Linked DNA regions of Mus musculus: regions 1, 2, 3, 4 and 6 are each reported to be linked to region 5. Evidence: microRNA targets listed by miRTarBase, many of them from high-throughput screens and not tested one by one. Region 5 holds a microRNA gene; each other region holds the end of a gene's coding sequence. Distances are from middle to middle.
The links. Region 5 holds the annotated microRNA mmu-miR-324-3p (CCACUGCCCCAGGUGCUGCU, at 2,963-2,982, opposite strand). A microRNA usually pairs through its seed, bases 2 to 8, with sites in the 3' UTR of a target mRNA and lowers its output. Matches are read on the target gene's strand: a 7mer-m8 pairs with bases 2 to 8, a 7mer-A1 pairs with bases 2 to 7 and ends in A, and an 8mer does both.

Region 1: the mRNA of Tanc2 is a reported target of mmu-miR-324-3p. Seed matches in the 3' UTR shown: 7mer-A1 at 1,572-1,578.
Region 2: miRTarBase lists Cog7 as a target of mmu-miR-324-3p. Seed matches in the 3' UTR shown: 7mer-m8 at 335-341.
Region 3: miRTarBase lists Anxa5 as a target of mmu-miR-324-3p. The part of its 3' UTR that is shown has no 7-base or 8-base seed match.
Region 4: miRTarBase lists Hpcal4 as a target of mmu-miR-324-3p. Seed matches in the 3' UTR shown: 8mer at 4,217-4,224 and 7mer-A1 at 4,557-4,563.
Region 6: miRTarBase lists Tafa5 as a target of mmu-miR-324-3p. The part of its 3' UTR that is shown has no 7-base or 8-base seed match.

What each region holds. Positions count from the first base shown.
Region 1 is chr11:105,923,093-105,928,164 of GRCm38, reverse strand. Tanc2 (tetratricopeptide repeat, ankyrin repeat and coiled-coil containing 2) reads right to left here. Exons shown (of 26, transcript NM_181071.3): 26 at 1-5,072. The coding sequence ends at 4,449. Among named protein-coding and RNA genes, the nearest start is that of Cyb561, 19 kb to the left of the region's middle.
Region 2 is chr7:121,918,498-121,923,561 of GRCm38, reverse strand. It overlaps Cog7 (component of oligomeric golgi complex 7), which reads left to right. Exons shown (of 17, transcript NM_001033318.3): 17 at 94-723. The coding sequence ends at 260. Scnn1b (sodium channel, nonvoltage-gated 1 beta) reads right to left here. Exons shown (of 13, transcript NM_011325.2): 13 at 4,834-5,064. Among named protein-coding and RNA genes, the nearest start is that of Scnn1b, 56 kb to the right of the region's middle.
Region 3 is chr3:36,444,830-36,449,901 of GRCm38, forward strand. Anxa5 (annexin A5) reads right to left here. Exons shown (of 13, transcript NM_009673.2): 13 at 4,094-4,577. The coding sequence ends at 4,515. Among named protein-coding and RNA genes, the nearest start is that of Mir7009, 28 kb to the right of the region's middle.
Region 4 is chr4:123,189,974-123,195,045 of GRCm38, forward strand. It overlaps Hpcal4 (hippocalcin-like 4), which reads left to right. Exons shown (of 5, transcript NM_174998.4): 5 at 685-4,726. The coding sequence ends at 882. Among named protein-coding and RNA genes, the nearest start is that of Nt5c1a, 9.0 kb to the right of the region's middle.
Region 5 is chr11:70,010,005-70,015,076 of GRCm38, reverse strand. It overlaps Mir324 (microRNA 324), which reads right to left and starts at 3,034; the gene lies at 2,946-3,034. Dvl2 (dishevelled segment polarity protein 2) reads right to left here. Exons shown (of 15, transcript NM_007888.4): 15 at 4,968-5,072. Acadvl (acyl-Coenzyme A dehydrogenase, very long chain) reads left to right here. Exons shown (of 20, transcript NM_017366.3): 3 at 219-284; 4 at 374-446; 5 at 534-598; 6 at 698-832; 7 at 1,499-1,643; 8 at 1,776-1,905; 9 at 1,994-2,119; 10 at 2,431-2,629; 11 at 2,787-2,891; 12 at 3,307-3,393; 13 at 3,479-3,541; 14 at 3,631-3,732; 15 at 3,812-3,909; 16 at 3,999-4,071; 4 more. The coding sequence ends at 4,781.
Region 6 is chr15:87,756,855-87,761,922 of GRCm38, forward strand. Tafa5 (TAFA chemokine like family member 5) reads left to right here. Exons shown (of 4, transcript NM_001252310.1): 4 at 443-2,510. The coding sequence ends at 451. Among named protein-coding and RNA genes, the nearest start is that of Mir6393, 37 kb to the right of the region's middle.

The DNA.
Region 1 (5,072 bases), 36 Mb from region 5:
CCAATTATACGTTCATTTGGTACTGACTTTCAAAGCTCTGACTGTGGCCATCACGTGGCCACAAGCATCTCAGGGTGGCTCAGCTGCTGTGAGGCATTGGACACCGAAATGAAGGTTACCAACACTTCAGCCCTTGAGTGGTCTGTATTACAAAAAGAGTTGATGAAGACCCAGTGAATATTCAAGTAGCTCTGCACAGTGGCTCCACCAGCCCCGTTGTGCTTGTGTCCAGGCCCCTAGCCAGCTGCCTTTTCTTGGGAGCAGCCAGAGCTGAGTTCAAGGCATTGCATGGTGAAGGTTTCCATGACGCGTCTTTGTAGGTAGCTCTTACCCTAAGCCCTTTGTTCATTGTTAGTCATGGTAGATGGTCAGTCTGGAATTCCCAGAGGAAAAGGAGAAGTCACACCTCTCAACAAGCACGAGGCAGGGCAGTATGGCCCTCAGAGTAAAGGCGGTAGCAGACCCCTTCTTGAGAACTGGGCAGCCTGAGGGCAGACAGGTAGGGTGGGTGGGGCTGCTGAGCGCTCAGAGCCTCAACAAGAGATGGGCACAGAGGCAGCATATCCTGCCACCTGGGGAGCCTGTTCCATTGTGTGGCAAAGATTCAGTGAGCAACTGGTTTTGTCCAAGGCATTTCTGCAGTAGAAAAATAACCATCTTTAATCAACCACCCAACTGTGATTCTTCTGGAGTTATAAAAGCCGGAGGCTGAGTGAACTGAGAGGAACGGTTTCTAACGGGGAGAAAGGGAGCGCAATGTAACCTCGCAAACGTGGTGTCCAGAGTCTGCCTTGCTACAGGGGCATGGCTGCAGGAAGCCCCCTCAGGCTTGTGTTCCCTTCTTCCTGAACCTCTAGTCTGTAGGGCCCCCTTGCCAGCTGCACTGGCAGCAGCTCCACGAAGCCATTCTTTGTAACCAGGTAAGTATGATGCAGGGTCACAGTGACACCTAGTGGTAGAGTACGGTGAAGCACAAGTGACATCCACATATCCCACTGCATATGACTAAACTCTAAGGAAAAATACTTATGGATATTAAATTAGATACTGGTTTAAAATTTTTCTATTGGGTATATCTCTGAAATATAAAAATACCAATATTTAGAGGGAATCATAAACTACTATACAATATAAGGGAGGAGAACACCTTTCTCTAAGCTGTTCTGTTTATAATAATTTAGGAAAAGTGATAATCCAGGCTTAACTAAAATCAGCAAACTTGGATATCTGGGCAACAACCTGGGATACTGTACACAATTCTAATGAGTGGAATTTTCCTGAGCCATCAAGTTTAAGTTAAACACATCTAGAAAGGGGCACCTGGAACGAGAGGGGGTTGTGCTCTATTAACTCGGGACTAATAGTGCACGACTGCAACCTGGACAGACACAACAGCAGATACAAAATGATCTCCATTTGTCCATGCCGAATTCTCATGTTACAGAGGTTTTCCCTTTACTTTGTAAATAAACAATAATTTTAATTGTTACTTGTGTGCCTTACTGATCCAGTAAATAAATGAACCATGTCTCAGGAGTCCCTAAGAAAATTGCTGGAAAAGCACTTTAAAATCACTGCAAATGTTTTCTTGTGTTTAAAAATCCTTACTCTTTGAGGCTTATATACAACGTTATTTCTGTGCTATAAATGCTGTGGCCCACTGCTTGATTTCTTTCCTTGTATCTTTTTTTCTTGAAAAAACACACTAGAGACAAGAGTGACTCTAATTTCTAATGAAGACATTACTCACACTTAAATATCCAGTATTTATCAGAGTTACAAATTCAAACAGTAAAGTGCACCCATTTATAGACATGATGTGATGGAAACCCACCAGTGCAAGAATTTTGGGCAAAGGAACATGTTTGGGTGAGAAACCTACAAGCTGAAGTTTGTCACCTGTCTCTACTTAAGGGTGATGTGAATTGAGTGATAAGAATTTGCCAGTTTCATTTAAGATTTGTCTTCCATCCTGAAGCCAGGCAAATGTTCATTGTTGGGAAGGGAGGGGCACATTTAAAATACAGTACTAAGATCAACCATGGCAGTGAAGTAGCAAAGCAGGGCAGGCAGTCTGCATCCAGGGAAGATGCTTGTCTCCTGCCTCAGGAAGCTCCCATTGGTGTTCTTAAGTCAAAAACCACTTGCTCCAGTAGTGGCATGCACTCTCTCTTATAATGGATAGGAAATAATTGTGGTTTGACACTGCTATTTCAGGTGGGGGTAGAGACGCTAACTCTCTTAATTTTCCTGGGAAAATGAGGGACCATGGGTAATAGTGGCAGCTGTGGTGTATTTTTAGGTCTGCATGGCATTCTAACCCACTTGGGCAGGTAAGGTGGTAAGGGTGGCTTTCCAAACAGGCGGGAGCACTTTATTAATGGACTGTAGGAGCTCCCTCAGAGGTGGTTCAGGTAAGATACAATGTGATGCAGAGACCAACAGAGCTGTGTCCAGGCCACAAGGGGACTGGAGAGGCTGCTGCTCCCAGCTATAGGCTGACCCCACAGCTATAAGCTTCTTCCAGATGGGAGAGATGAAGATAAAGACAGGTGGATGGTCAGGTAGGGAGAAATGACCAGTGCCTATCCTAGTCTAGGAGGATGGGGCAGTTCTATATCAGAGTAAAAGCAGTCCTGCTTACAGAGATGAATTCTGATCTGTTTTAGGCTTGGGGGGCCTGGGGTCCATCTACTGGCAGAATCTAAATCAGTGATGAAAGGTTTCTGATTGCAGTGTCATGCTCTGCATGACTTCAGATCCTATCAGAGAACTGCATTCCAAACAGATCACAGCTGGGTTTTGTTCAGGAAATTGTCCTTCCTGCAGCCCTTCACTAATGAGAAATGCTCCCTAAGAACATGGTAGCAACAAGCAACATGGTTACTTTGCTGGACCTGTGGCTTGGTTTTGAGAACTGACGTGTTCCCAGAGATGGTACTGTGCTACAGCTTTGGTTCCTGTGTCCTTGATGCCTATCTCACAGTTGTCTCAGCTTTTCAAAAAATCAGGTTAGCAAACAGCCACAAGACGAATGGAAACGGAGGGAGGAAAAGGCCTACTATCAATCTCATGCCCCTACCCAGTGCTCAGAGCAATCTGTAACACTTTTGGCTGTTTCTGATTTTCAAAGATTACCATTTAACACTCTTAGATAAAAGAGACAATTCCTTTAACAGAGAATAATGAAATCAGAGGTCTTAAAATGGAATTAGATAACAGCCAACACGGAATGTAGTGGCCTGGGTGGAAACCCTGGGATGGGCCTTACAGTCCCAAGAGAACCTAAGCAGGTTCTGGAAGAAACTCTTTACACTATCATCTTGGTTTTGAGACAATGGAGCTGAGCGAAGCCTGGCTCCAGGTGAAAGTGCATCGAGTCGGGTTACTACAGCAGCCAGACCTCAGAGGTTGTTCAGGGTTTTTTTTTGTGATCTAAAATGCAGACTTGACACAGCTTTCTCTTGGTGAGAAGCAAGAACAATCTTTCCCCCTTTCTCCTCCTTTCTCCATACTTATTCCCTTCTCTAGCCGTGGAAAATCAGCAGCCTTTAGTAGCTGTTAGTTAAAGCCTAGAGAATACCTCTTGGTGAGTACTTTAAAAATACCAACAGTTCTCCTGGAATTTCCTTGGCTAATCAGGGCTGGATGTTTATTAAAAGTTCCCCAAACACTTCTTGGAAAACCAACATAGTAACATTTCAGATAATTATAGTGGGCTTTTCTTCCAATCAATTTAGCGTTTCTTTCTTTCTTTTTCTTTCTTTCTTTCTTTCTTTCTTTCTTTCTTTCTTTCTTTCTTTCTTTCTTTCTTTCTTTCTTTCTTTCTTTCTTTCTTTCTTCCTCTCTTACTCTTTCTCTCTCACTCTCCCTAGACCCCTTTGTCCCAGAGAAGGACCAGCAATAAAGGAAATGAAGATTCTAGAGCTGACGCCTGCAGGGAGCTGGAGTCTGGGGAGAAGACCATGGCACAGCGATGCACTGGGGCTGGCCATGTGAACACTGAGGAAGGATGCAAGGACAGAAAGGCATCACACGTGTCCTAACGCTTCTAGAAGAAAACAAACAAGAACATCTTACTTTTTTAAAAAGGAAAAAGACATTCACACAACAAGAACATCAGTGAAAGCGATTGTCTCCTGGAAAAAGCCGACCAGTATGTCTGATCTCCCTGGTTAAAGCTCACGGCACGAAATCTCCTCGTTGGTATTGGAAGAGAGGGAGAGAGCATGTGGCTGGGGCACAGACCCGAGAAACTGAAGTCCTGGCTCACCAGAGGCCAGCTTCCCAGTCAGCTGCATGCAAAGGATTTCAACATGTGGGCTGTCACCTCTGAACACCACACAGAAACTACATGAGAAATTAAGCCAGAGAACTACCTCAGATGTGGAAACCAAGCCTGAAAATGTGCAGTGAAAACATATGGGTCTCACTCCAACAAATGTCTCTTAAACATTAGACTCCACAAATGGTCTCTTTGGTTTGATGGGCGATGTCTGCCCTTGTCGAGAGTCCCGAGACAATTGCCTGTACAGGTTGTCCTGGTATGCCTGAGCCACTGGTAGGGTCCGTGCCACCTTCACATCAGGATAAGAGGAGGCCTGGCTGACTCTTTCCAAGAGGTCTCCACGAGACCCATTAGCCAGCATCCCATGGGGGCTGTAATAATCGTCCTCCAGCAAATGGCCATTCTGTGCATTGTTGGTTTTGTTATAAAAGGCAATGTTGCTGATGGATGATGGTGGACTGAAGGATTCAGGCTGAGGCAGGTTGCCTGGAGACGTGGGACTGAGAACCGTATCCACTGATGAGACTGCCCAGGTCCGATTCTGCTGGTGAAGGTGGGGGTACTGTTGAGTCCGGGCTGTTTTATCTATGATCCCCATGAATGGTGTGGTCCTGGATCGGGTAGGCTCACTAGGATAACCTCCCTGAGTGGGAGATACTGGTGATAGCTCATCACATGACCTATCATATGCCGGTTTTAGTGGGATCTCCATTTGCTGAATTGAAGAAGAAGGCCGGAAGGTGGGAGTCAGGTTGGAGGTGGATGAGATGCTATTGCTGGATGG
Region 2 (5,064 bases), not on the chromosome of region 5:
GAAGGTCTGCCTGCAAGGGAGCTCCCAGCATTTGGGAAGGCCTTGGGGTCCCCATGCACTATGCTGCTGAACCTGTCCCCTCCTCACCCACAGACTATCTGATCAACGTGATGGACGCACTGGGCCTGCAGCCATCACGAACCCTCCAGAACATTGCGGCGCTCTTGAAGGCCAAGCCTGAGGAATATAGACAGGTCAGCAAAGGCCTGCCACGCCGCCTTGCAGCCACGGTGGCCACCATGCGTGGTGTGAATTATTGACCAATTGTGAGAAGAGTGTCCAGGACAGGGTACAGGACTGGTGACTCTCAGAATGGATTCATTCTCAGTGGTGGGGCAGTGTGTGTGTCTGTGTGTGTGTGTGTGTGTGTGTGTGTGTGTGTGTGTGTGAGAGAGAGAGAGAGAGAGAGAGAGAGAGCAAGAGAGAGTGAGAGAGAGAGAGAGAGAGAGAGAGAGAGAGAGAGAGAACTGGAAATTAGGCATGGTGGTATGTGTACATAAGCCAAGCATGGTGGTACATTGGTACATGTCTATAATCCCTTGGGAGGTAGGGGCAACAGGATTACTGTGAGTGTGATGTCATCCTGGACTAGAGACTCAGTATCTACAACAAAAAGGCTATAAATGAGAAGTAATGTATTATTTATCAGAGAGAAATTTTCAGATGATTTGTAAAAATAACCTTATCTTAAAAGTGGGCTTAATAAACACCGTGAAGTGGGTCAAAGGGTGTTTCCTTCTTCTCTGTAATATCTGAGTGCTCACACACTGAGCAGGGCCTGAGGACACTGAGGTGGGTAGGGTCATGAAGGAGGCTGGGGCTTCACCAGTGCAGAGGGAGCAGAGGAGGGTGGAATAGTGAGCAGGTAGATGAGAGGCGGGGTGAGGTCTACAGCAAGGAGCAAAAGGGGAGCTCCCCTGGAAAGAAGCACAGAGCAAGTGCAGAGGCCACGTTCAGCCAGGGTGGCTGGAGAAGAAGGCATCAGGCATTTGGGTTAGAGAGGAACGGAGCCAAATCGTGTAGGATCTTACAGCTGTGGTGAGAACTTTGGCTTCACTTTGCCCTTTTGTTTATTTTAGTGTACAGGATGTTGCAAATCTCATCTCCTCCTTTTTGGTCTATTGCATCTGTACTTGTCAAGGCTGTGTTTGGCTTATAAGTAACAGTAAATAACATTGCCTGAATGACTTGAGCTGAGAGGAATGAATTTTTCAATAATGAGAAGTCAGAGGGTGGGAACTCCAGGAGCTGACTTAGGGCCTGAACAGAGGAGGGACCTTAGCCAGTGCCCATGGCAGGTGACCCTGGCAGTATGACTGTTATACCTATGTTCAGGAGGAAACCACAGGACAGGTTGGAGAGACATGGCTCTCTGTTCTACCAGGCAGTCAGCAGTGCTCCACCAGCCCCTGCTGACTTCTAGGCCACATTGGCCACTTCTTGGTCACAGGGTATGTCCCCAGCTGCAAGGAATGCTGGGAAAGTATAGGGGGTGGGGACAGGACCTGTTTCAGTATTTCTCAGATTAGTCCTTTCAACATTTTGAGTCAAATAACTTTGTTGGGAAACTGTTCTTTACATGAGCCTGACCTCTATTCACTACCAGGAGCACAGCTCTAGGGGATGTTGGTACAATTTTTTTTTTGAACTATTTTACTGGGTTCTTATATCTCTCCCTCCCTTCCACCCCCATCCCTTCCAAACTCCTCCACCCCCAACACTAGGTAGGAGAGAAAGAAGATTTGAAGAGGTATAGACCTCCTTAGACTACACCCTGCTCATTAGGTATGTCAATCTTTGTAGTTAGAATATCACCAAACAAGCCAGCAATAGCAAATGCAGCAGCAGGGACCAGCAGCAGGGTCCAACAGCAGGCGGAGCAGCAGCCGCCCATGCCCGCTAGGACTCACCCATTTATACCTTTACCAGAGTCCCCAGAATTCAACTATTTGCAGATGGCAAAAATCACGCTCCTGCCAGTGCATGAGGCAAATCATAGTCACCTGCTGTGAAGCAGCCTGTTATCCCACACCTGGGATTAAAGTAAAAACATAGTCACATAACAACTGTGTTGTTAAAGAAACCAAAATTCTTACTACAAGGGGACAATCAAAACTGTTTTCAGGGGTTCCCAAAAGGGCAAATCTGATAGGGAAACACCCTGGTTAGAGATCTAGAGTCCAGGATCTATACGCTGGACTGAGCAAGTGGCTACCCTGAACAAAGTTGGTTCTTTATTATTTTGTGCCACTGGGAATCTAATCACAGCCTCACTCTCCCTGAGCTATGTCCTAGCCCTTTTTATTTTAGTTTGAGGAGGTATCTTACAAAGTTGCCTAGGCTAATCCAAACTTGCTTTGTAACCCAGACAAACCTTGAACTCATGACTCTCCCTCCTCTGCCCCTCAGCGAGCTGGCCCGCACTATCGGGTCTGACTTCCTTTCACTCTGTAGCCAATTCTAGCCTCAAACTCACCATCTTCCAGCGTCAGCCTCCCAAGTGCTGGGTTCTGGCATACACAATTATGTCTGACTACAGCCGTCTTGTTTCTTGGCAAGGATGGTGGGAACAGCAACAGCCTCTGAGAGGGCTGCTTGTCAAAATTAAGCTTATCCAAGACCCCAAGTGTGCAGCCTTACTGCTTGCTGGGATCTCTCATAGAAGCCCACCACAGCCTTGGCAGGCACAGGTTATTATCTCTAATCAAGAGAGGTTTGGGGACTTTCCGGGCCTGTCAACTAACTGCCTTGTGGCAAGTTGGAGTTGAGAGTAAGGCTGGTGACTATAGTATCTACAATCCTAACCCAGAGCCAGGCTGCCTTCTTTGTACACCGTGTGGGAGGTGCATGACCTAGGTGACACATGCTCACAGTGTAGGGACACTTAATCCCAGCGGGTCAGCCTGCTTGTGCCAGTGCCACCCTTTATAGAGGTGCACCACACCCACGAGGCCACCAAGGCTAGCATCTCACTTGGGACTATCCTGATACCTTGGGAACTAGTTTGGCTGGCATGGACAACAGTGTCAGCTTCGACCTTGCCCTAAGAGAAGTACTTTGGCTTCTCAATGGTTGATCACAGACTGTCCCTGGCAGGGGTTAAACCTGAAAGAAGTGAGACCTGGAAGGTCACAAGATCTGCAGTCACTTGTAGTGATGGTGTCCATGAGACGGAACGGACTTTTGAAAGACAGCCTGGGCTAGAGTCAAGACTTTGGATGTGTGACCTTGGGAGAGTCTCTCCCTCTCTGAGAGACAATGGGGACAAGGACATGTGCCAAGTTCATGTTCATTGTTCGTTCATTGTCTCTAGCGTGCTAACCTAGCTTCCCTTGTGGAGATGAAGCAGAAATCATGGATTGTCTTGGGTGATTTGAGTGTGACTAACCTGTTTCCAGTGCTAAAAAGGCTCATGGGGTCCCTGGTAGGAATGGCACAGTACTCTTCTAGACCACGGGTGGCTGGGCTTGCCAGGTCTGAGCTACCTTAATGATGGGACCGTTGAAACCATCATCCTGGAACCTGACCTTCACTGTCCCCTGAGAGTGAGGACAGCAAACCAGTTCTGATGTGGCTTCTGCTGCACACCTTCAGATGGCTCCCAAGTGTGTGAGCAGAATCTTCGCTGGACTCAGTGGGTTCCCTCCCTCCTTGGATTCTCCCAGCACAGCTAGTTGGTGTTTTCCATGAACATGTGTACACCCCAACACACACACACACACACACACACACACACACACACACACACATTAAAGTGATAAAGTGCTCAGCCCAGTGTCCCCCATAGAGCCTCTAGTGTGACCCAGGTGGGACTGCCTTTCACCACAGGTATGGCAAGGGGCCTTCAATGGCAAGGAGCCCAGCTGATCTCCGCCCACCAGGCTAGACCATCAGACAGCGTGGATCAGCCGCTGGCTCCTGGCAGCAGCACCTTGCCTTCTCTAGAGGACGTCATCAGAGTTGCTATATGTGACAGAAAAGGGTCCAGGCCATTTGTGGTCTCTACTGTTCCCCAACCCATAACAGTGTGATACCCAAGATTTCAACCTATGGCCTGAAAGGGAAACGGAGGTGGGAACAGCAGGGGACCTCAGAACAGACTCTCCGAAGGAGGCTTCAGTGAGACAGCTCGTTTAATTTGGGGGTCAAAGATGATTTAAACCCTTGGGGAAGTGGATAGGGATCTCTGGGGAGAGGGAGGATCCTTGGCGTTGGCCGGTCGGGGCTGGGGATGCCTCGTTTACTATGGAGGAAGTCCAGGTGCTACTGCTGGACAGGACCTTATAAGGGGGAAGGAAGTGTAAAGATGCAGGGGAAGGACTGCCTGCCAGTACATGCAGGCCCCAGTCGGGAGGGAGTGGTGCAGCCTACCACTCTAGAGAAAATATTTCCAGGGCCGGACACAACTTGATGACCCTACTTCCGCTCTGAGCCGGGTCCACAGTTCCCTGGACCCACAACCATTCACTTAAGTTTGAATGTGAGAGAAACAAATGACTTATATCCCAACTTTTGCCTGGGTGAAATTATACCACAAAACCAACTTGTTGTCTTCCCTGAAATTGGTTTAACTGAGGGACCTGGGTTTTGTCTGACAACCATAGGAACTAGTTCACACTCCCCTCCGACTCTGATTTGCTGGATACTGTGGTGGCTTCAGGTCTGGGCAAATAGAATTGTGTCTGCCAATCTGAGTAACTTATCCAGTTTATCCAGTTTATCACTGACCATGCTGATTGGCTCAGAGATAGGCACATGACCCAATCAGGGACCAATGCGTGTTAGCCTGGAACAGGCCTTAAGAGGCCCCTAGAAGCAGAGAGTTAATTATTCGGGGTGCTTGAGAACATTTATTTGTTTTGTGGGGTTTTTGTTTGTGCTGTTTGGTTTTCTGAGACAATCTGTATAGTCCAAGCTGGTCTTGAACTTGGATCTTCCGACCTGGGATTATAGGTGTCTGCCCTCCATCCCCATGCCTGGTTTTACTGAAGTCAGTTTGCTTCAGTGCACCCCAGCTACCCAGTGGGATAAAGAACAAACCTCCATCCAGTGTTTTCTCTCTTT
Region 3 (5,072 bases), not on the chromosome of region 5:
TATGTCATAAACCCTGCTTCCTAGTTTATCTGTTTGTAATAGCCCCCCTGTCTGTTCAAATCTGTGTAATAGACTCTGAGCCTCTGGGACGCTGCAGTGTCTCCATTAGAGATTCCAGTCCATTCCATCCCAGATTTCTGTTTACCTGTGCGTCTGTCTTCGGATTGTTCCCTTACCATCTCTCAGGTCCTGGAGCTGTGCAGGGCGTGGCATGTGAGGCCTTTATCCGCACCTGCTTCATCTTTGCTTAGTTAAGTAAAACCTGCACTTCACTGTAATATTATTTTACATTGCTGTCATGAGTGATTTTATCCATCATTTCACATGTTTCAAAATAATTTATTTCACCTACTCTGTAAATTATTTTTTTCAAGTCCTTGGCCTTCATTTCTAAGGAGTTATGATTATTTTGCTTTCAATATGAAAGGGTTATACATAGGCAGTTAAAGGTCATAGGAGGAGGGTGTCAATGATTGACCAATTATCTTTACAGGAGTTATTTTTTAAAGGAACTACCTTTTTAATAAATATGCATATGTTACATATACATATATAATATACATACACACACACACATATAAATATATATATACATTTGTGCCTTTAAGTTACAACTATTTTGTTTGTTTGGTTTTTTTCTTTTTGTTTGTTTAGGCTTTTTTTTTTTTTTTCTGTTTTTTCGAGACAGGGTTTCTCTGTGTAGCTCTAGCTGCCCTGTAACTCACTTTGTAGATCAGGCTGGCGTCAAACTCAGAAATCCGCCTGCCTCTGCCTCTGCCTCTGCCTCTCTGCCTCTGCCTCTGCCTCTGCCTCTGCCTCTGCCTCTGCCTCTGCCTCTGCCTCTGCCTCTGCCTCTGCCTCTGCCTCTGCCTCTGCCTCTGCCTCTGCCTCTGCCTCTGCCTCTGCCTCTGCCTCTGCCTCTGCCTCTGCCTCTGCCTCTGCCTCTGCCTCTGCCTCTGCCTCTGCCTCTGCCTCCCAAGTGCTGGGATTAAAGGTGTATGCCACCAATGCCTTGCTACAACTATTTTTTTTAAGATTTATTCTATTTATATGTACACAGTGTAGCTGTCTTCAGACACACCAGAAGAGGGCATCAGATCCCATTACAGATGGTAGTGAGCTACTATGTGGTTGCTGGGAATTGAACTCAGGACCTTTGGAAGAGCAGTCAGTGCTCATAACTGCTGAGCCATCTCTCCAGCCCCAGAGTTACAACTATTTTATAGGTAATTTTCTTTTAAGCTTACTTAAGCTGTATTCCTTAAGCTGTATTCACACATCAGTTTAATAATTGAACATATTAAGACTTATGTCACCATGCTACAGATACCACTTCCTCCAAATCCACTCCACACAGCATTCATTAAAACCTGGACAAGCGTAAGGTGGCGCTGCTTACAACTACTTAGGACCATGGGCATGAACAGAGTCCATCAAGGGCAAATTAGATTGGTGCTCTCCTTGTCTACAGCGAAATAATTTAATGCTTGCCTCCAATGTCTTTTCAGCATCTCTTCACATAGATACAAGCTAATTTATAATTTTAGCCCTGTCCTTACCTCCTACTGTTCAAACATGAGTTAGGAAATGCTATGGGTACTCTTTCTCAACCCTGATTCCTCAGTAAGGGTATTGGAGACTCTGACATGCCACCATTCATAAAAAACTATTATAAGTTCTATGCACTACTTTATTAGAGTAGTCTGCTATATGGATGGATATTTAGGTTATCGTTAAAATAGACTATCATGATGAGAGCCTTGTGTGTGTATCATGCATAACTGGGACAAGTGCCCAGGGTGCTGTTGGAGGGTAGACAGTAAATGCCCTCATAGCTTTGATAAGTGATGCCAGTGTGTGTTGGCTCACATCCCATTCTGTCACGTGAGCGTTCCACCCTCACCAGTCTTCTGACGACACTGTATCATCCAGGGTTTGAATCCCTGACAATCCTCACCATTCCTGGCAGAGAGAAATCTTGATGCAACTTGGATCTGTGTCGTGTTAGGGGCTTCTGCTATCTTTCACCTGCTAAAAATGAAACCATTTTTAGGTTTCATTATTGTGGTGGCTTTTTCTGCTCTGTAGCCCAGTCTGGGCTATGAAATCATAACAGTTCTCCCTCAGCACCCCAAGAGCTGAGCTTACAAGTATCTGATACCTGACCTGTTCTGCTTCCTGCCTTCTTTCCTTAAGCCCTCTGCATCTCTAACTCCATGCCAACACTTACTTCCAGAGACTCTTAGCCCGAAACACGAGGACATGACTTAATTATTATGCAATGACCACGTTTACTATTTTGAGATTTAACTGAATAGAGGAAGTTCAGAACTAATCTTATCTTTCTCCTCACGATTGCCCGGTTATCTTCACACACGTTATTTGTAAAAGGAACTGCACTGTTACACATCAAATTAAGACCTGCCCACTTTATGAAAGGCAAAGTCTCTAACTGTGATGTCATTTTAAGCAAAAGATTGGAAAGTTCCTAAGTGTCCATCCATGTTGGTTTCAATGTCCCGGCTTGGTTTTTATTTACCAGTCTATAAAGGCACCAATTCTGCAGAGCTTTGACAACTCTGGCAGGGGTGTAGCTCCGTGGTGGAATACTTGCTCATGATCTGCTAGGGTCAATTTCCAGACCCACCACCTCCTCCCCAAAGAGAGAGAAAGGGAGGGAGGGAGGGAGGGAGGGAGGGAGGGAGGGAGGGAGACATACAGAGGATGGTATCTGGAGATGAAGGTTAGCTTAGGCTATGTGGTATAAGCCTGTCTCTCCAAAGAAGAGATACATGTTCACTGCTCTCATTCAGATTAACTAATGAGTCTCTTTAAAAGTGATCTGAGAAGAACTACTGTTTTCACAGCAGGTTCACAGCAAGATGGAGCAGGGCGTTACAAACTGGAAAATACAGCACACGGTAAAGCATTTTCTTTTTCTGATTAGTTTCCTATTGTAGCCCAGGCTGGCCTGGAACTCGAAACATCCTCTTGCCTCAGCCTCCTCGATGTACGGATGACAGGTGTGGGCCAGCACAGTCAGCTCATCGCTCAGGAGCCGGCAAGTGTGTGTTGCACCGCTTATGTGATGGACTGGGCTCTGCGTCTATGGAGCTTGGGCGGGAGTGTGTGTGTGTGTGTGTGTGTGTGTGTGTGTGTGTGTGTGTGTGTGTGTTTATGGGTGGGTGGGGTGTCCAACTTCACATTACCACACACACAATTTTTACAGTTTCCTTGGTTATTTTGTAGAACAGTGAGGTCTGTGAAAAGATCGCTGTCATTATTTAATAAGGATATTAACATTTTACTTAGGAAAAAAAGTAGCCGTGAGTATATAGCATATGTACAAATGTCAAGGTAACTCCACTTCAAGGCACCCAAAGGTGGGAAACAGGAAGGCAAGGCTGAAGAAATGGCTTCCTAAAGAGTACTGTCTGTGTTATCTGTGATGAGACAGACGTGTGGTGCCTGAGCACAGGTAACCAGCCTCGTGGCAGAACATGGATTAGAATAAATGGGTTATCTTAGGTTATGAGCCATTAGGTTATTTCTGGGACTATGGGACTGGAGGAAGAAACTTCTACAATTATCTCAAGGAGGAGGAGGAGAAGGTAAAGAGCAGAGTTACAAGCAAACTCGAACACACTGAAATTTTAGGTTGTGCAAAATTTACTCTTTCTGCTGCTAGTAGAAGCTCCATAGTATTGTCCTAGCTGGTGAGGAAATAAATCTCTTCTCTTCACCTCCCCTCCTCCCACCAGGGGACCCTCCCCTCCCCAGCTTTCATCCCACCAGGAAACTGTTTTACACACACACACACACACACACACACACACACAGAGGAACACATGCACCTCCACCCCACCCCACCCCCTTCCTCCATCCACACCCTACCCCCACCTCCCATCCCCCACCCCCCATTCTCTCTCCATCCTTTACCTCACCGCATTAGGAAGTTCAGTCTGCGATACTGCATGTTTTAGTACCCCAAGACCAACTATAGTTTTAGCTTTAACTAATACTACTGTCAAGTGCCTGCTTTCAAAGGGATATCATTGTTAAATAAGCTTTCTAAACACAAACCTACACAGGATTTGGAGGGAAGGGAATGTTTTTATTTGTCGCCAATGTTTTGGATACTACCATCATAATTTTGCAGGTCTGCTAGAGCAGTAAGCTTGATTGACAGCATTTCCAAGAGTTCACAATTTCACCGCTAAGGTTCCAATCAAGATAATAGGGTTATTAACTTAATATAAATGAAGCTTTAAAAAAGGATATAAAAAGCAATTCATAGACAATATTAATAACTCAGACATTGGACTGAGAGATATGGGAAGGTCACTACCTACTGTAGACAGAACATCAGAAGGGCGGGACACTGCTTTCATCTAAGACACCTTTGGTCATTAGCATACTAGTGTAAGGCAGCGCGGCAGGCACAGAATGCAAGCAAGTGTGGTGCTGAGGAAAGCTGATGGTGGGCAGCAGGCACAGGGCGCTCCAGGCGGCTCTCAGTCATCCTCGCCCCCGCAGAGCAGCAGCAGGGCCTTCTTATAGTCTCCAGATGTGTCGCCCTGGAACCCAAACACACTCTGTCAACTCCATGACTCACAAAAGCCACAGGAAATAAAAAGATGAGGAAATGGCTGAGGGTGACTATCGTTCCTGTGACTTTTCTCCCCACTGGGCAACTTCTCTGCATGACTCTCACAACAGGAATGTTACACAGGGAAATTCCTACCAATACCGCTCAGTTTAACTTTCTAATTTTACCCCTCGAGGGCTGTTCTCTTAATGGAGTGGACTGTGTTCTTCCATGGAGAAGCAGAGAAGCCGTTCCAAGTATGTTAAATCATCATGCCTTCAAACAGACGCCCAGTTTCTCTCGGGTAACAAAGGCATGCAGGGCCTCTCAGGGGCTGTGGCTTTGCCTCGGACATGGGCATAGGGCATGCCTTCCTTGGGCTCCCCTCATGCCGCTTATGTGTGAAATGCTAGTGTCTTAAGTGCACAGACTCGCTGGCAACCCTCAACCCAAGCTCCACACACCACACACATTAAATCCAACG
Region 4 (5,072 bases), not on the chromosome of region 5:
CTGAGCAACATCCTGAGTTCCAAGCTATAGATGGGCTATAGATGAGAAACATTGTCTCAGAGAATGGCTTGGGGTTTTGTTGTTGTTGTTGTTGTTTTATTTTGTTTTGTTTTGAAATCTAGCAGAATAAGTCCTTGCTTGCTGAGACAGGGAATTCTAGAGGCATGACAATTGGGAAGTGAGTTAAAGAGTTGAGTTTGATTCATTTAAAGTGCTTATTAGGTTGATAACATAAACAATATCATATATGTTGTTTGGGTGTGGTAGCGCATGCCTTTAATCCCAGCACTCAGTTAGGCAGAGGCAGGTGGATCTTTGTGAATTCAAAGCCAGCCTGGTCTGCATGGTGAGTTCAAATACAGCCTGGTCTACATAGCGAGTTCCAGGCCCCTCAGAGTTACATGATTGGACCCTGTGAGGTCAGAGAACAACTTGGTGGAGTCAGTTCTTTCCTTCCACCTTTAGGCAGGTTCTGGAGACCAAACACGGGTCATCAGGCTTGTGTAGCGAGTACCTGTACCCGCTAAGCCAGCCAGCCCTAAAAAGCCAGTCTTAACGGCCCTACTCTCCTTCTAGTGTCTCCACCCTCCTCCAGTGTGCCCCCAGTCCACCCCAGATCCCTTGTATTCTTCCCCAGTCCTCCCTGCCAGTTGGGTGTTCACACCTCCGTCTTCGCTCCATCAGGCTATCTATAAGATGGTGGGCACCGTGATCATGATGCGCATGAACCAGGATGGGCTCACACCCCAGCAGCGTGTGGACAAGATCTTCAAGAAGATGGACCAGGATAAGGATGACCAGATTACGCTGGAGGAGTTCAAGGAGGCGGCCAAGAGTGACCCGTCCATCGTGTTGCTCCTGCAGTGTGACATGCAGAAGTAGAGGCCGGTGAGGGGCAGGGCCCCTGGCCAGGAAAGGCATGGCAACCTTCCAACCTGATGTCCTCTCTGCTGGCCCACCCCCGGGGGGAGGGGCGTTCCAGCCTCACTCTCTAGCTCACCCACTCCTCTGTCCAAGCCTTTCTCTCCTCAGTCAAGTTCCTCGAGCGACCACCACCTCATTCTGTAAAAGAGACAGGTCCTCTCAAGTAGCCTGTCCTCAGATAGTCTGTCACTAGCTCCACCTCTAGCCTTGGCCTAGAACCAACATCCTTTGGGCTTAGGAGAGTTGGCTTTTGACCCCAGAGGCGAGGTTAAGGAGGGGCTGAGGACTTGCTTTGCAATCCTGTTGTTCCCAGGATTATGGTCCAAATAAACAGCATGGTCCCACAGGCCCCCAGTCAAAGGGCCAAACCGGGTCTGTCCCGGGCTATCGGGATTCCCCGAGAGGTGGTCTCTGCCCTGCTCCCTTGCTCTACCTGGCCCCTCTGGCCCCAGTCTTTGGAACGTTCAGTGAGTCCTTTCTTCAGCTAATGCTTGTTGAACACTTGCCCCATGCCAGGCACCTGAAGGTGCTAAGAATACGGTTGTTTACAGAAACCCATCCCATGCCCTCTGGAAGCTCACAGGGTAGCGAGACAACTGCCAAGGGTTGCAGTCTCGGACAGGATGGTGGAACACAATGGAGATGAAGGTGTGAGGTAGCTGGCACGCTGTCAGAACTAGTGTGTCCTCCAGCTGGTGCCACCCAAAGCTGCAGAAAGTCCAACTGAAAAACCTGTGGAACTTTAGGTGCCACGTGGGTGGATGTTTTAAGAAAAACAAAATTTTATGTAATATTTATTTTTTTAGTGCCCTTTCAAAGACATAAGATCATTTTATTAGACTATAAAAATATACTCTATATTACTTGATTTCTTAAAAAAAGATTTAAATGAATATAAAAATGCTGATGTTCAAGGGGGGAAAATGTTTAGGCAAAAGCGGTAGGGCCACCATCAGGTCTGGAGAACCCGTACTCTCGCCACCAGCAGTTCCTGCTGTCTCTGCTATGTCCCTTTATTACCTTTTCTCAATTCCACAAGTGACTTTTCTGTCGCACACCTTGGGTGCTGACATCAGAGTAAGAAACGAAACTTACCATGGGCAAACGCAGTTCATTCCCACGGCCCGGTACCATGGGCATGCGCAGTTCATTCCCATAGCGCAGTATCATGGGCAAGCGCTGTTCATTCCCACATCTCGGTACCATGGGCAAGCACAGTGCATACCCACATCTCGATAGCTTGTTTCTGAGTTTGGGTTGGTTTTTCAGGGATCGGCTTATTCTTTCACAGCCTAAGATAGAAGGAGCTAGAAGAAAGGGATCTTGCGGCTGTTCAGGCTTCGGGGGCTGCGCTTATCTATGGACCAAATGCTTAAAGAATGTGCTGGGCGTACTCCGTGCAAAAGGCTTTTCCTAAACCCTTCCGTCCTAGATCTGCCAGGTAATCTACTTTGTCACCTTCCAAGCTCACCAGCCTCGCTTTCTGAATTTTAAGGTCTATGAGCTAACTAGTGTGCTGCATGCTTTCCAGAAAAATCCACCTGCTTCTTCCAGTTCCTCGCTTCACTTTCGCCTACGCTTCCTTGCGATCAGAGGTTGGCTTTGATGTGCGATGACAGTTGGCTTCCTCTTGAGCTGCTGTGAAAACAGTCTAGTACAGAGATGCTGTCAGCCAGGGTGGGCGTAGAGAGAGCTTGAGAAGCTGGGGCGTGTGGTGGCGGAGATTGCCCTGCAGAAGATACGCTATTTGCCACTTACTTCCGAGTGCTCACCTCCCTTCTGGTAGAAATGTTTGTAGATTCTGACCTGTGGTCCAAAGTTCTGTCAGACTTTCCTTCTTGTGGCCTTTGGAGGGAGCAAGCCACCTTCTTCCTGACCTGCCTATCCAGGCCACGTGCTAAGGGTGAGGAATTCTTAGCCTCAAGTGGTACTAGCAGTTGTTTATCTGGTGATGCTTCGTGGGGTTGCTCCATAGCTCTGGCACACGGCCTGCTAAGCATGTCTTTTGCTATCATCAGTGCCACAGACACATAAATACCCAACCACCTTGCTCAGCTGGGACCTGGATCTTCTAGTGAAAAGCTTTTCCTTCCCCCCAAATGTTTAATCTAGCCCAACCCACAATGACACAGAATTTCTTGGCTTTCTAAGGCTTGTATCTGCCTGCATCTCATTTTGTCCTCACAGCCCAAGGAGATAAGGGTTTTACCCAGGCTTGGAAGCTAAAGTTAAGGGTTGAGGGAGAGAGGTCTCTTGTATGAGAGACACACAATGCTAAGACTCGAACGCAAGGCTCTCCAAGAGTCTCTTCTCTGCTCCATCTGATTTGTCCAGATGCTAACTGCAAGACAAATCGACTTTTATCCTTTCAGAAGTTTCCTGCCAAGAACTTGCTGAGGCTACAGTCTTCCGAAAAGGAGGAGGAGCTTGAAGTCTCTCCACTTTCAAGCATCCTCTCGTAGCTTCTGGGCAGCTTTGCAGTGCTGTTCTTGGAGGCTGCTAATCAAGTCCTGGAAGCATCTTGTGTTGTCTTCTCCACTATCTTCCTTCCCCAAAGAATTGCTTTTCTTTTTCCAAGTTGGTAGGCAAGTCCTACCCATGAGACAGATCACTCTAGGCTTCTAGTCACCCACTCACGGGCAATATTTGCTGCTTAAGGCCAAGGGTTTCAGACAGCCAACAGGCCTCAAACTGGCTCTGCCCTCTTGCTCATGGGAGAAGCCACAGACAGGTCGAGCCTTGCTCCCACATTCTCCTGGGTGTCTAAAACTCAGTATGCCCAGGAGACCATGTGGTAGAGCGCCCGTCCCTGCCTTGGGAAGAGAGAGATCTCCCATCTCCACTCCGGCTTGGGAAGCACTTAGCATGAAGCACAGGTCAGCAGAGATCTGGGTATGACTCGCACAGGCATGAAAACCTAAATGCAGATAAAACACTGGCATACCAAGTTCTCCTTCGAGGTTCTGTATCCTCTTACAAAAAGTCTGTGAATCTGGTGGTTCCAAATTTAGCCTTCTCATGCCTGCTATCCTCATTCATCCTTTCTGGCTAAGTGATGAGCCCCTTATTTCTCATCCCTAAAAATCCCCAGCGTAGGCTGCCTTGTGTGCCGCTGCGATCCGTGCAGCTGCGTAATTACTCGCGTACCTTTGAAATGAAGAGAAAGCCAAGCCCATTGGCCAAGGCACCAATTCCTCTCTGCTCTGGCAATGGCAGAGCCTCAAAAGCAGAAATCCATTTAACGCAGAAGGTTATGGAAGCAAGAAAAGGACACGCTGGTCTTCCCAGGCAGGGCAGTGAGCAGACACTGTAAATATTTTTACACAAAATTTATTAAAGCAAAAGTCATTTCCTGAAGATCCACCCTGGGTGAGGCTTTGTGTTGGCTTTAGAAATCACCACGGGGCTAAGAATACATTTCCTACATAGCTGCTTCATTGTGCTTAAAGGAAGCAAAGAAGTCACGTGCTAAATTTTAAAGTCTCAGAAAAACATGGGTTTTGTTTTCTACCCCCTAGACTTTTCAGGGTTTTCTCTTCTTAGCTTTGTCGGAGTATGGGGTAGGACAGGGTCTCTAGGGATGCATGGGTCCCTCTGCTTGGTGGAGGCTGCCCAGGTGCATGGTCTTCTAAGCAGTGAGGAAGCCTAGGTGTATCCCAGTTCACTATGGGAGCCCCAGTGTAGCCCTGTCCCCTCCGGACATGCTGCTTCTAATTGTGTTCACAGCAACCATCTTCACTGATCAACCCTGTGCCACGTGGTGTGTGTTTTTCCCACTGACAATGAATAAAAGGTGTGACTGTACAAGCTCTGTTCTTTGCTAAACTGGGCTGGGTGGGGTTAGGGTGGGGCAAAGGGAAAGAGGCCAGGAAACTTCACAGAGTTTCCTTGGGGATCAAGCTAGATCTTCAGTCTGGCAGTGTCTTAGTCAGGATTTCTATTCCTGCACAAACACCATGACCAAGAAGCAAGGTGGGGAGGAAAGGGTTTATTAAGCTTACACTTCCACGTTGCTGTTCATCACCAAAGGAAATCAGGGCAGGAACCCACATAGGGTGGAAACTTGGAGGCAGAAGTGGAGGCAGAAGCCACGGAGGAATGCTGCTTACTGGCTTGCTTCCCCTGGCTTGCTCAGCTTGCTTTCTAAT
Region 5 (5,072 bases):
AGTTGCCAGTTCCCACTAGCCTGCGACCGACAGGGGTCTCTCTCTTCGACCCAGTCACCTGGTGGCAGTTCTGTCACTGAAAGTAGGGGAAAGGGCACGCCAGGGTGCCCTAGTGAGAAAGTAATGGAACATGCACCAAACGCACTTCCTAGAGCTAGCGCTTCCTGCACACCTTTTAAGACCCATCTCCAGCCTAACTGCTCTGCCCTTCCCTCCAGGCAGTTCTGGACAAGCCAGAAACCCTCTCCTCTGATGCTTCCACCAGAGAAAAACCAGCCAGGGCAGTAAGTGACTGGAAACTGGACTGACACTTAAAAACCAGGAGTAGAATCACCCCAGGCACCCACCTAAGATCCTTTCCTTCCTTGCCTAGGAATCGAAGTCCTTTGCTGTGGGGATGTTCAAAGGCCAGCTTACCATTGATCAGGTGTTCCCATACCCATCTGGTAAGTAAAGGCTTAGTCAGTCACTGACAGTGTGGGCAGGGGAGCCCTCTCTGCCTGACTAGCCTGCTCTTCTCTCCCATTATACAGTGCTCAGTGAAGAACAGGCACAATTTCTCAAAGAGCTGGTGGGACCAGTGGCCCGGTTCTTTGAGGTAAGGGATGACCAGAGCTCAGCCCCTCCTGGGCTAAGTAAGATGCTAAGGAGCTTAAAGGAGCCTCTGAATATGAGATTCTTCCTATTCCTTGCTCAGGAAGTGAATGACCCTGCCAAGAACGACGCCTTGGAGAAGGTGGAGGACGACACTTTGCAGGGACTCAAGGAACTGGGGGCATTTGGCCTGCAAGTACCCAGCGAGCTGGGTGGTTTGGGCCTCTCTAATACCCAGGTGAGAGGATCCCCCTGGTTAACATTCCACAGTGCTCCAGTTTTGGTAGACTCACCACTAGGGCCAAGCAAGTAGCCAGAGTAGTGTCTACCTGCCTGCCCTTTTTCTCACACATTTTCCCCTGAAACATGATCTGTGTGCAGCCCACTAGGACCGTGGACCTAACTGTGGTTCCCAGGTCTTTGGGGACTGTGTGAGGCAACACAGCAGGCAACCTTCCCATCAAGACCAAGGGCAGCTGGGCACAGTGGCACTCATCTTTAATCCCAGCATGGAGGATGGAGGCAGAGGCGGGCGGATCTCGAGTTCAAGGCCAGCATGGTCTACAGAGGGAGTTTCAGGACAGTCAGGGAAACCCACAAAGTTTCAGGCTAGCTGGAGCTACAAAATGAAACTGCCTCAAAAGGGGGGGGGGGGATTATCTAAGCCCTTTGATGTTCCTGCTCCTGTCTCCTTAGGAAAGACTCCAGGGTTTCATGCTAGAGAAGCAGCCTACCTGGGAGCCCCATGGCCAGCCTCCCTGTGCCCTGTCCAAACCCACTCCACTCCCCATGCTCAGAGTAGAGATGCTCCAAGCCCCAGGCCAGGTCTGCCCTGCTGCCCATTCTTGTTGAGGACAAGTTCAGTGCAGCCAGCTACAATCCCAGATGCCTCCTTTCCCTCCAGTATGCTCGCTTGGCAGAGATTGTGGGCATGCATGACCTTGGTGTTAGCGTTACCCTGGGAGCTCATCAGAGCATCGGTTTCAAAGGCATCTTGCTCTATGGCACAAAGGCCCAGAGAGAAAAATACCTTCCCAGAGTGGCATCTGGTAAGGCAACCTTAAGAGACCCAGGGGTAAGGAGTGTGACACTGCTCACGGTGTTACAAGGAACTGCCTGGGGATGAGGGGGTGCAACTCTGGTGGTCAGGATCCCCAGTGAGCCCGTTCTCTCCCCCACAGGGCAGGCTTTGGCTGCTTTCTGCCTAACAGAGCCCTCGAGTGGATCCGATGTAGCCTCCATCCGAAGCTCAGCCATACCCAGCCCCTGTGGAAAATATTACACTCTCAATGGGAGCAAGATCTGGATCAGGCAATCTTCCGTTTCTCTTCTACCCTTCAGCCCAGTGGCCTGACCCTGCTGCTCTAAACCCTATACTAACCACCTCACTCTTCCACAGTAATGGGGGCCTGGCTGACATTTTCACTGTCTTTGCCAAGACGCCAATTAAAGATGCAGCCACGGGGGCCGTGAAAGAGAAGATCACAGCTTTTGTAGTGGAAAGGAGCTTCGGAGGGGTTACCCAGTGAGTATGGGGCAAAACAGAATCAAGGATGGGGACAGCACTGGGCTCTCAAGAGCAAATAGTCAATACAGGCCACGCTGGGGCTATCTCTGTACAAGAGGCACCCACAGGAGGTGAGCAGTTTTGTTTCCACTGGGGGAACACAGGCTAACAGGCCATAGCTAGATATCCGTAGCCCCTGGGGCACATAGGCAGTGCCCTGTATCCTTTTTATAGTCTGGGGAGTTCTCCCCTGATCATGAGACCCGAAAAGGCCGTTTTCCCCCACAGCAACCTGTTCATACCTCAACTTTCCTGCCCTGCCTTTTCAGTGGGCTCCCTGAAAAGAAGATGGGCATCAAAGCATCTAACACGTCAGAGGTGTACTTTGATGGAGTGAAGGTGCCATCAGAGAATGTGCTAGGAGAGGTGGGAGATGGCTTCAAGGTTGCTGTCAACATCCTCAACAACGGAAGATTCGGGATGGCTGCAACCCTCGCAGGCACCATGAAATCCCTCATTGCCAAGGCGGTGAGTCCCAGCCCAGTCCCTAGCTAGCACATGTCCCTGACTGCCTCAGAGCGCCGACACACACACATGCACACTCGACCATCGGCACAGTTAGGCCTCCAGCCCGTCCAGGTGGAAACTGAAGAACCACAGTGGGGTAACATGCGCCCTCTTGCAGGTTGATCATGCTACTAATCGTACCCAGTTTGGGGACAAAATTCACAACTTTGGGGTGATCCAGGAAAAGCTGGCTCGGATGGCTATTCTGCAGTATGTGACTGAGGTAAGGGCCTCCTGGGCCCCTTCCCTGGAGCCCTATGGCTTTCTTCACAGTTGGGTCAGACTACAACCCCCAGCAGCACCTGGGGCAGTGGGTCTCCAGCTTTACACCAATGCCCTAGGGGATGCGAGGAGGCATAGTCAGTTCTCTTCTGGAGGGTGGTGCTGCTCTGCTAAATGCTGCCCAGATGCACCAAACACGACTTTTAACCCACCCCTTTACAAAGTCGGAAGCCTCGAAGCCCCTGATATACCAGAGGGTCACATATTGGACATATTTGACCTGACCAGGAGGCTAAAGTGAATTCAAGGGTTGGAGGAGTAGATCAGCACTGGTCTTGAAGGTCTGAGCATTAGCCATTCTGTCTGATGCAGCCCTTCCCTGTTGTCTTCCCCATGTCCCGACCATGCTCCCTTAGTCCATGGCTTACATGCTGAGTGCCAACATGGACCAGGGATTCAAAGACTTCCAGATAGAAGCCGCCATCAGCAAAATCTTTTGCTCGGTGAGGACCCAGGTGTGATGGGAGGGCGGAGTCCAGATTAGGACCTCAGCTCAAAAATCCAACTCATCTGGTTCTCTGTCCTCAGGAGGCGGCCTGGAAAGTGGCAGATGAGTGCATCCAAATAATGGGGGGCATGGGCTTCATGAAGGTACAGAGTATTCCTCGGCAGGGGGGGGCATCTGTTCAGAGTGGACAGGCACATCTCAACAGAGGTTTCTGTGTCTTCCTGCGTGCCAGGAACCAGGGGTGGAGCGTGTGCTCCGAGATATTCGAATCTTCCGGATCTTTGAAGGGGCAAATGACATTCTTCGACTGTTTGTGGCTCTGCAAGGCTGTATGGTAAGAGGAAGGAGGATGAGAGAGAGCAGCTGGGGAGGACACTGAGTCCTCACTGTCGCCGTCCCCCTTCTCTCCACAGGACAAAGGAAAGGAACTCACTGGGCTGGGCAATGCCCTGAAGAATCCTTTTGGAAACGTTGGCCTCCTGATGGGAGAAGCAGGCAAACAGCTGAGACGGTACCTCATGGGCCGGGGCCAGGGTCAGAGTCAGGGTCAAACAAGATGGGAGGCCGCAACTGACCAGTCACTCTTCCATCTCCTCTCAGGAGGACAGGAATCGGCAGTGGTTTGAGTCTGTCAGGGATTGTCCACCCAGAGTTAAGTCGCAGTGGTGAACTGGTGAGTGAGCCTTAAAGCAGAGCCTGCGGTGGCTGTGCGCTGCCTTCCTCTCCTGAGCTCTGTCTGTGACTCTTGTCTCTTCAGGCAGTGCAGGCTCTGGATCAATTTGCCACCGTGGTGGAGGCCAAGCTGGTGAAACACAAGAAAGGGATTGTCAGTGAGTGAGCTCTGCAACCCCCTTCCCTCCCTGATTCCCTCCCTCCGACTAACAGCCCCACCCTCATCTACCTGACAGACGAGCAGTTCCTGCTGCAGCGACTGGCGGACGGCGCCATTGACCTCTATGCCATGGTGGTGGTTCTGTCCAGGTAAGGCGGCAGCGAGGGACGCTTGGCAGGCTAGAGCCACAGAGGAGCTGGGCCAACACCAGCACTCAGGATCATTTTAACCTCTGTTTCCTCACAGAGCCTCAAGGTCCCTGAGTGAGGGCTACCCGACGGCACAGCATGAGAAAATGCTCTGTGATAGCTGGTGCATTGAGGTGAGCCTTGGAGCTCCCCAGTACAGGTGGGCCTTGGAGCTCCCCAGTACAGGACGGCCTGACCGTCCCTCCCCTTCCCTCTCCCCAGGCTGCAACTCGGATCCGAGAAAACATGGCCAGTCTGCAGTCCAGCCCTCAGCATCAGGAGCTCTTCCGGAACTTCAGAAGCATCTCCAAGGCCATGGTGGAGAATGGTGGCCTGGTCACCGGTAACCCCCTGGGAATCTGAGACTCCCAATCAGGCCCTGGCAAGGTCATGTGCCTTCTCTGATGCCAAAACCCTTTATGGGGGTGATGGAGTACTTATTGCCTTAACAATAAATTTTCTACCAAGTCACTGTCTGCCGTGAATGTCACTGCTCCCTCCTCTCCACTGCCTGCCTCGCAAAGAAAGGAGCCAGAGGCTTGGGGAGTTGGCCTCTATTTGCTTTATTTGGTGTTTTGTACAAGTGACTAAAATAAATAGAGTAACAAAGGCAGCTACACAGTCCCCAACACACCACCAGCCTCCTTGGACTGC
Region 6 (5,068 bases), not on the chromosome of region 5:
ACTCCTGCAGATGTTGTAGCTCTCTAGGGTCTGATTGCTGAAGGGTGGGAGTGAGGTACCTTCTCTCCTGCCAGAGCTGTTAAAGGGTCAGGTTCGAAGTGCTTGCCCCCCTGTGCCAGTGTGGTACTCATGCTAAGTATTCCAGTTTGTGCCAGGCACCCTTGGGAAACCAAAAAGACCTAGAGCAGCTCTGGCCAACACAGGCTGGAGAGTATACAGAGGTTCCTCTGGGTTCCCAACAGAGGGCATCCTCCCTTGGGGCGTGGTACTTCTGGGGCTTAATCTATGCAGAGTGCCCATCTTCCCAGACATCCAGGTCTACAATCTTGGTCCAGGAGATGTTAAACTTGCCCATGGTGGGCAAGAAGGAATGTGTGTGTTGGGAATGTGACTCTGGATGACCTCAGTATGAGGCTGACAGCTCTCTGTCTTTGCTCTTCAGGTCTCCTGACAATCGCAGCCCCTGCGGTGCCCCCTGGGAGTGGCTGTGGCTCCCTGGAAATTCTACACCTCAGCCACAGTCCTGCATCCTATGTGGACACCGCTCATTCTCCCCCATCCACCCACTGTTTCCCAGAGGCCTAACAAAGACAGCCCAATTCCTCGGAGCTCTGAGCTCAAGTCTGTCCAGCTGAACCCAGGAGGCTGGGACTCAGACACACATGTCAAGGGTGGTACCTGGAATCAGCAATACCTGGTGTGTGGAGCCTGGCTGCATCCATCCTCACTAGCCGCTTGCTCCCTGGAGTTGGAGGACCGGAACAAGGAAATTGTGGCCCGGCCAGCTGGGCCACAACGCAAGGTCCGGGGACTGTCAGGTGCAGAAGCCACCACCCCCTCTGTCCCAGACTGTCTGAATCGCTTTTATTTTCTTATACTTTCAGTATACTCAATAGACCAAAGAGCAAATCTATTTTAACGTGGACACATCCCTGCTGCCAAGAGTTCCCTGGGTTTGATTGTGGGGCAGGGGAGGGCGCAGTGGCAGACATGCTGGTGGCCCAGGCAGCATGGAGAGGGCATCTGAGGCCAAGACCCCCGCCCCACGAACACTGCAGCGTGCCCTAAGAGGATGGCTTTGCCCAGAAGGACACCACCGTGGTGCACCTGCAGGACCCAGCAGGGGCATGGCCGGCGACGGCCCCCAGCGGACAGCAAGGGCCCCGGACACAGACCCTTTGCCCCTGTGCTTAGACCAACTCTATCGTACTAAAATCACTTTCTGTTTTAACCAGTTAGACATGCCTCTTCCACAGCTCCATTTTTGATAGTTGGATAATCCACCATTTGCCAAGAGCATGCTGGGTCTCCTGTGACTGCTATCTCATCTGATACACCATTTAGCTCCAGAAAGCAAATTAAAGAAAACTGAAGTAACCCTGTTTGAAAGAGATCATTAAATGTATTTTGCAAAAGCCTAAAGTTATATATTTAACAGTTTTTATATGTTGTATATTTGTAGAAAATCCTATTTAACATTTGACGGCAGGTCTGACCATCCTGAGAGTTGTGGCCAGGCCTCCCTGTGATCCTGGAGACTCTGGGGTGGCCATGGAGGACCTCAGAGCAGACATGGACGGGCAGAGCTGTGGGTGAGGTGCAGAGGACCCTGCCCATTCTAGGAAGCTCTGTCTCTCTTTGCTTTGGTTTGGTCTGATAGTTCACATCCCCCTGTGAGTCTGTGTGTTGGTAAACATTGCGTATACAATATTTTGGTCATGGATTTTGGTCCCTCTCTCTCTTAACCCCTTTTGCCATCCATAGATCTTGAGTCCATGTACGGCCAACTTGCCCTTCCCAGGTGAATGACCCCCTTCGTCTTCAAAGGTCCTTGTTCTCCACATTGGGAGGCAAAGACAGCAGGGATGGAGGGGGTGGAGAAGCTGGGGAGCAGAGTCACTGTCCTTGCTTGCCCTACACTGTGGGGTCAGAGGCTATCAGATAAGGGACACAGTCCCCATTCATTTTCCTGAGTTCTGCTACCAGCATACTACCTACATGTCCAATTAACATGACTATCATGCTAGTAATATACTACTAAAGGCAAACATTTAAAAAAATGTATTTAACTCCAGTATATAGATGCCGTTCCAGCAACCATAGGCTAAAGATAGGAAAGAAAGTCCATTTCTGTGAGACCCATTCCGGTACCCATGTGTCCTCCCTTCACTCATGCAGAGATTAGTATCCTGGGCAGGGAGATGAAGCTGACATGAGGGGCTCTCATCAAAGGAGGTGGTCAAACAAGGCCACTGTCTCCGAAGTGTCAGGCTCCAGTGGCCTGTGTTGCAGGGGGTCAACAGGGCAGGAGGTCTCATTTCACCACTGAACCTCAACATCCGCCCCACCTCCCCTTGGCTGTTTCTTTTGAAAGCTAGCATAGAGACCTCCGAGGGCAGAGACCAGGAGACTTAAGATGTTACAGCATATTTCCCCCTTGTTTTACAGTATCCAATTTTTGTGTTGATTCAGCTAAATTATGAAAATAAAGAAAAAAAGTCCTTTGATAATCATGGCTTTTGTTCCCTGGCCGTGGTGTCCTGGGAGAGGGGAATAGTTTGCATGGCTGGTGGGGACAGTAGGTGGGCACCATGCACTGGGTCCTTCCTGCTCACAACACCTGAGGCTGGCACCATCACCAGCTCCTCCTTGAAGCACCATCTGGGAGTTAAGTGCCAAGGATTTCTTGGGCTTGCACCAATAGGCTCTGAAGCCATTCCTGGTATGTACCTATACTATATTATAGGCCTGCTCAGGGGTGCTCAGCACCCCTGGGATATGTCCCTGTCCATCCCCCAGAGGCAGGAGCAGGGCTCCCTGCTTATTAAAGACATAATCTTCTGCTTTACCTCACCCCTGTGGGCCAGAGACAGACAGGTGGCCCAAGGGAAGATGGATTGTCATATGTATTTGCCTGTCTCCCAAGTTCTTATGGCCTATAATGTCCAGGACAGAGTCCTTCTCAAGGGTCCTTTCTCCCTTTCACAGAAATCTCAGACCTCCAAAGAGCAGCCCTTGGAGAGGAGGTCTAGAGTCAGCACTCAAGGCCATTTGCCAGTTCCTCTTTACTTATACTAACCACAGGTAGGTGTGGCTCTTGGGTGGGCTATGGATGGATAGCCTGTGCTTTGTTCCAAAGAGACTCCATTGACCTCAAAGCCACAGAGGCAGGTAGACAAGGCCAGTCTGTCTTTAAGCATCTGGATTGTATCTTGTGGCCGAGACATGGAGACTTGCATCAGCCTCAAGAATCATTCCTATCCCTTTGGTACCCATGACGAGAAGTGTCAGCCTAGTGCCCCTACCCTCAGGCTCCCTCACAAAAGTATACTGTAGTAAGCTGCCCTGGAGTATGACAGGGCATATTTTTCAGAATTAAACATTGGGACTAAGATCAGGGTCTCTTTCCCCATCCTCTAATCACACATTGTTTGGCATCATTTCTAGGGAGATGTCTATTCACCAATATAGGGAACTGACAATAGACCAAAGTAATACAACCAAAGTCCTACTTTATGCATCAATGAGTTTACTGGGGTTGCAGAAGATGGGTGAGATGCTACTAACTGGTGCATAGTCAACACAAAGGCAATTGCATCACCAAAAACCCACCCAGCTTGGGTGGCATCTCGTGAAAGGGGAGGCTTGTGAACAGAGGTGTTCCTTGAAGGTAGGGGATAGCAGAAATAAAGCATCCCAAGGTGACAACCACTGCCACCCAGAGAGATCCTTGACCCTTTTTTCCTACATTGTCTGAGTCTTACCTGCCTCTTGCCAGACACCCTCACATCCAAAGGAAAACTACATGGAGATCTTGTCCTGAGCTGCTCCTCAGACTGAGAGGTGGGACTTAATCCTCACAAAATTGTCCCTAGCATGGAGACCCCAGATCTTGGGGACCTAGGACTCCACTCGATGGGAAGAGATGGACTTCTGTACTACACTCGGAAGAATCATCCATAGGTTCTTCCCTCCTACATGTCTTAGATGATGGTGGAAATTCCCCATCAGAGTCAGTCATGGGGTAAGCAGAAACTGGGAAAAGTAGGGAAGAGTAGACTGGGCTTAAAGTGAAGTGGTAATGTACCATCTTGCAGAGATGAAGGGCCAGATTAGAGGGTCATCTGTGTTCCACAGTAAAACCAGAACCTCAAAATCTCAGGACAGTGGCCTATCATGACCTTAACACATCCAGCCATCCCCATTTCAGCGATCTGCCTCAGCTCTTGTCCCTATTTTCTCACCCAGATCAGCCTTCATAGCAGTTAACTCCCCAGCAACATGTCTATTGAAAGAGGCACAGGATCTGGTCCCTCATCACTCCTGGCCAGGTACCCACCATGGAGACAGAACATGTGCCAAACTCAACCACCTAGTGAACTCCTCTTTACTTAGCATTGGTGTTGGTGCTCCCTTAAAGCTAGAACAGCTATCATGGTTTTGTGTCCTGAGAGCTCCTGTGCACTGGCTCCATGCAGTAAGGGCTGATCTCACTGTGTGGCCCCGCACACCTTCTTCCAGAAGTTAACTCCTCTAGGGACATGCTGCATCCTAAATATATTTCATTTCTTTGTTTGTGCCTGTGGTCATAGAATTACTCTGAAATAATAACTACATTTGTTTTCTGCTTTAAAGAATATTATTCGTTTATTCCTTCCACCAATGCTTCAGGGAGGGAATTTGTCTCCGTCACTGGCTGTGGGTAGCCATTGGCCCCATGATGCTGGGGCAGCTTTTGGTGCCTCAGATGAAGTTCTGCCTCTCTTCCTTAAGCTTTTCTCTGAGGAGACTCTCTTCTGGGACAAAAGCAGTCTGAAGATCCAATCTCTGTCTTGGGCACAGCCCTGCTTCAAAAAAAAATGTCAATGACTATAAGGAGGAAAATAACCCCAAGCTTCAGAAGTGAGTATTAAAATATTTTTGGGATTCCCATTAATCAAGACAAGAAAGGGAGTTTTTACTCAAGACCCTGGTGCCAGGAGCCAAGACCAGAGACACAGGCTGAGAATCTCAGCTAAACTTCACTCAGCAGATGGCATGGTCTTCTGGCCACTGAGCAGAAGCGGGG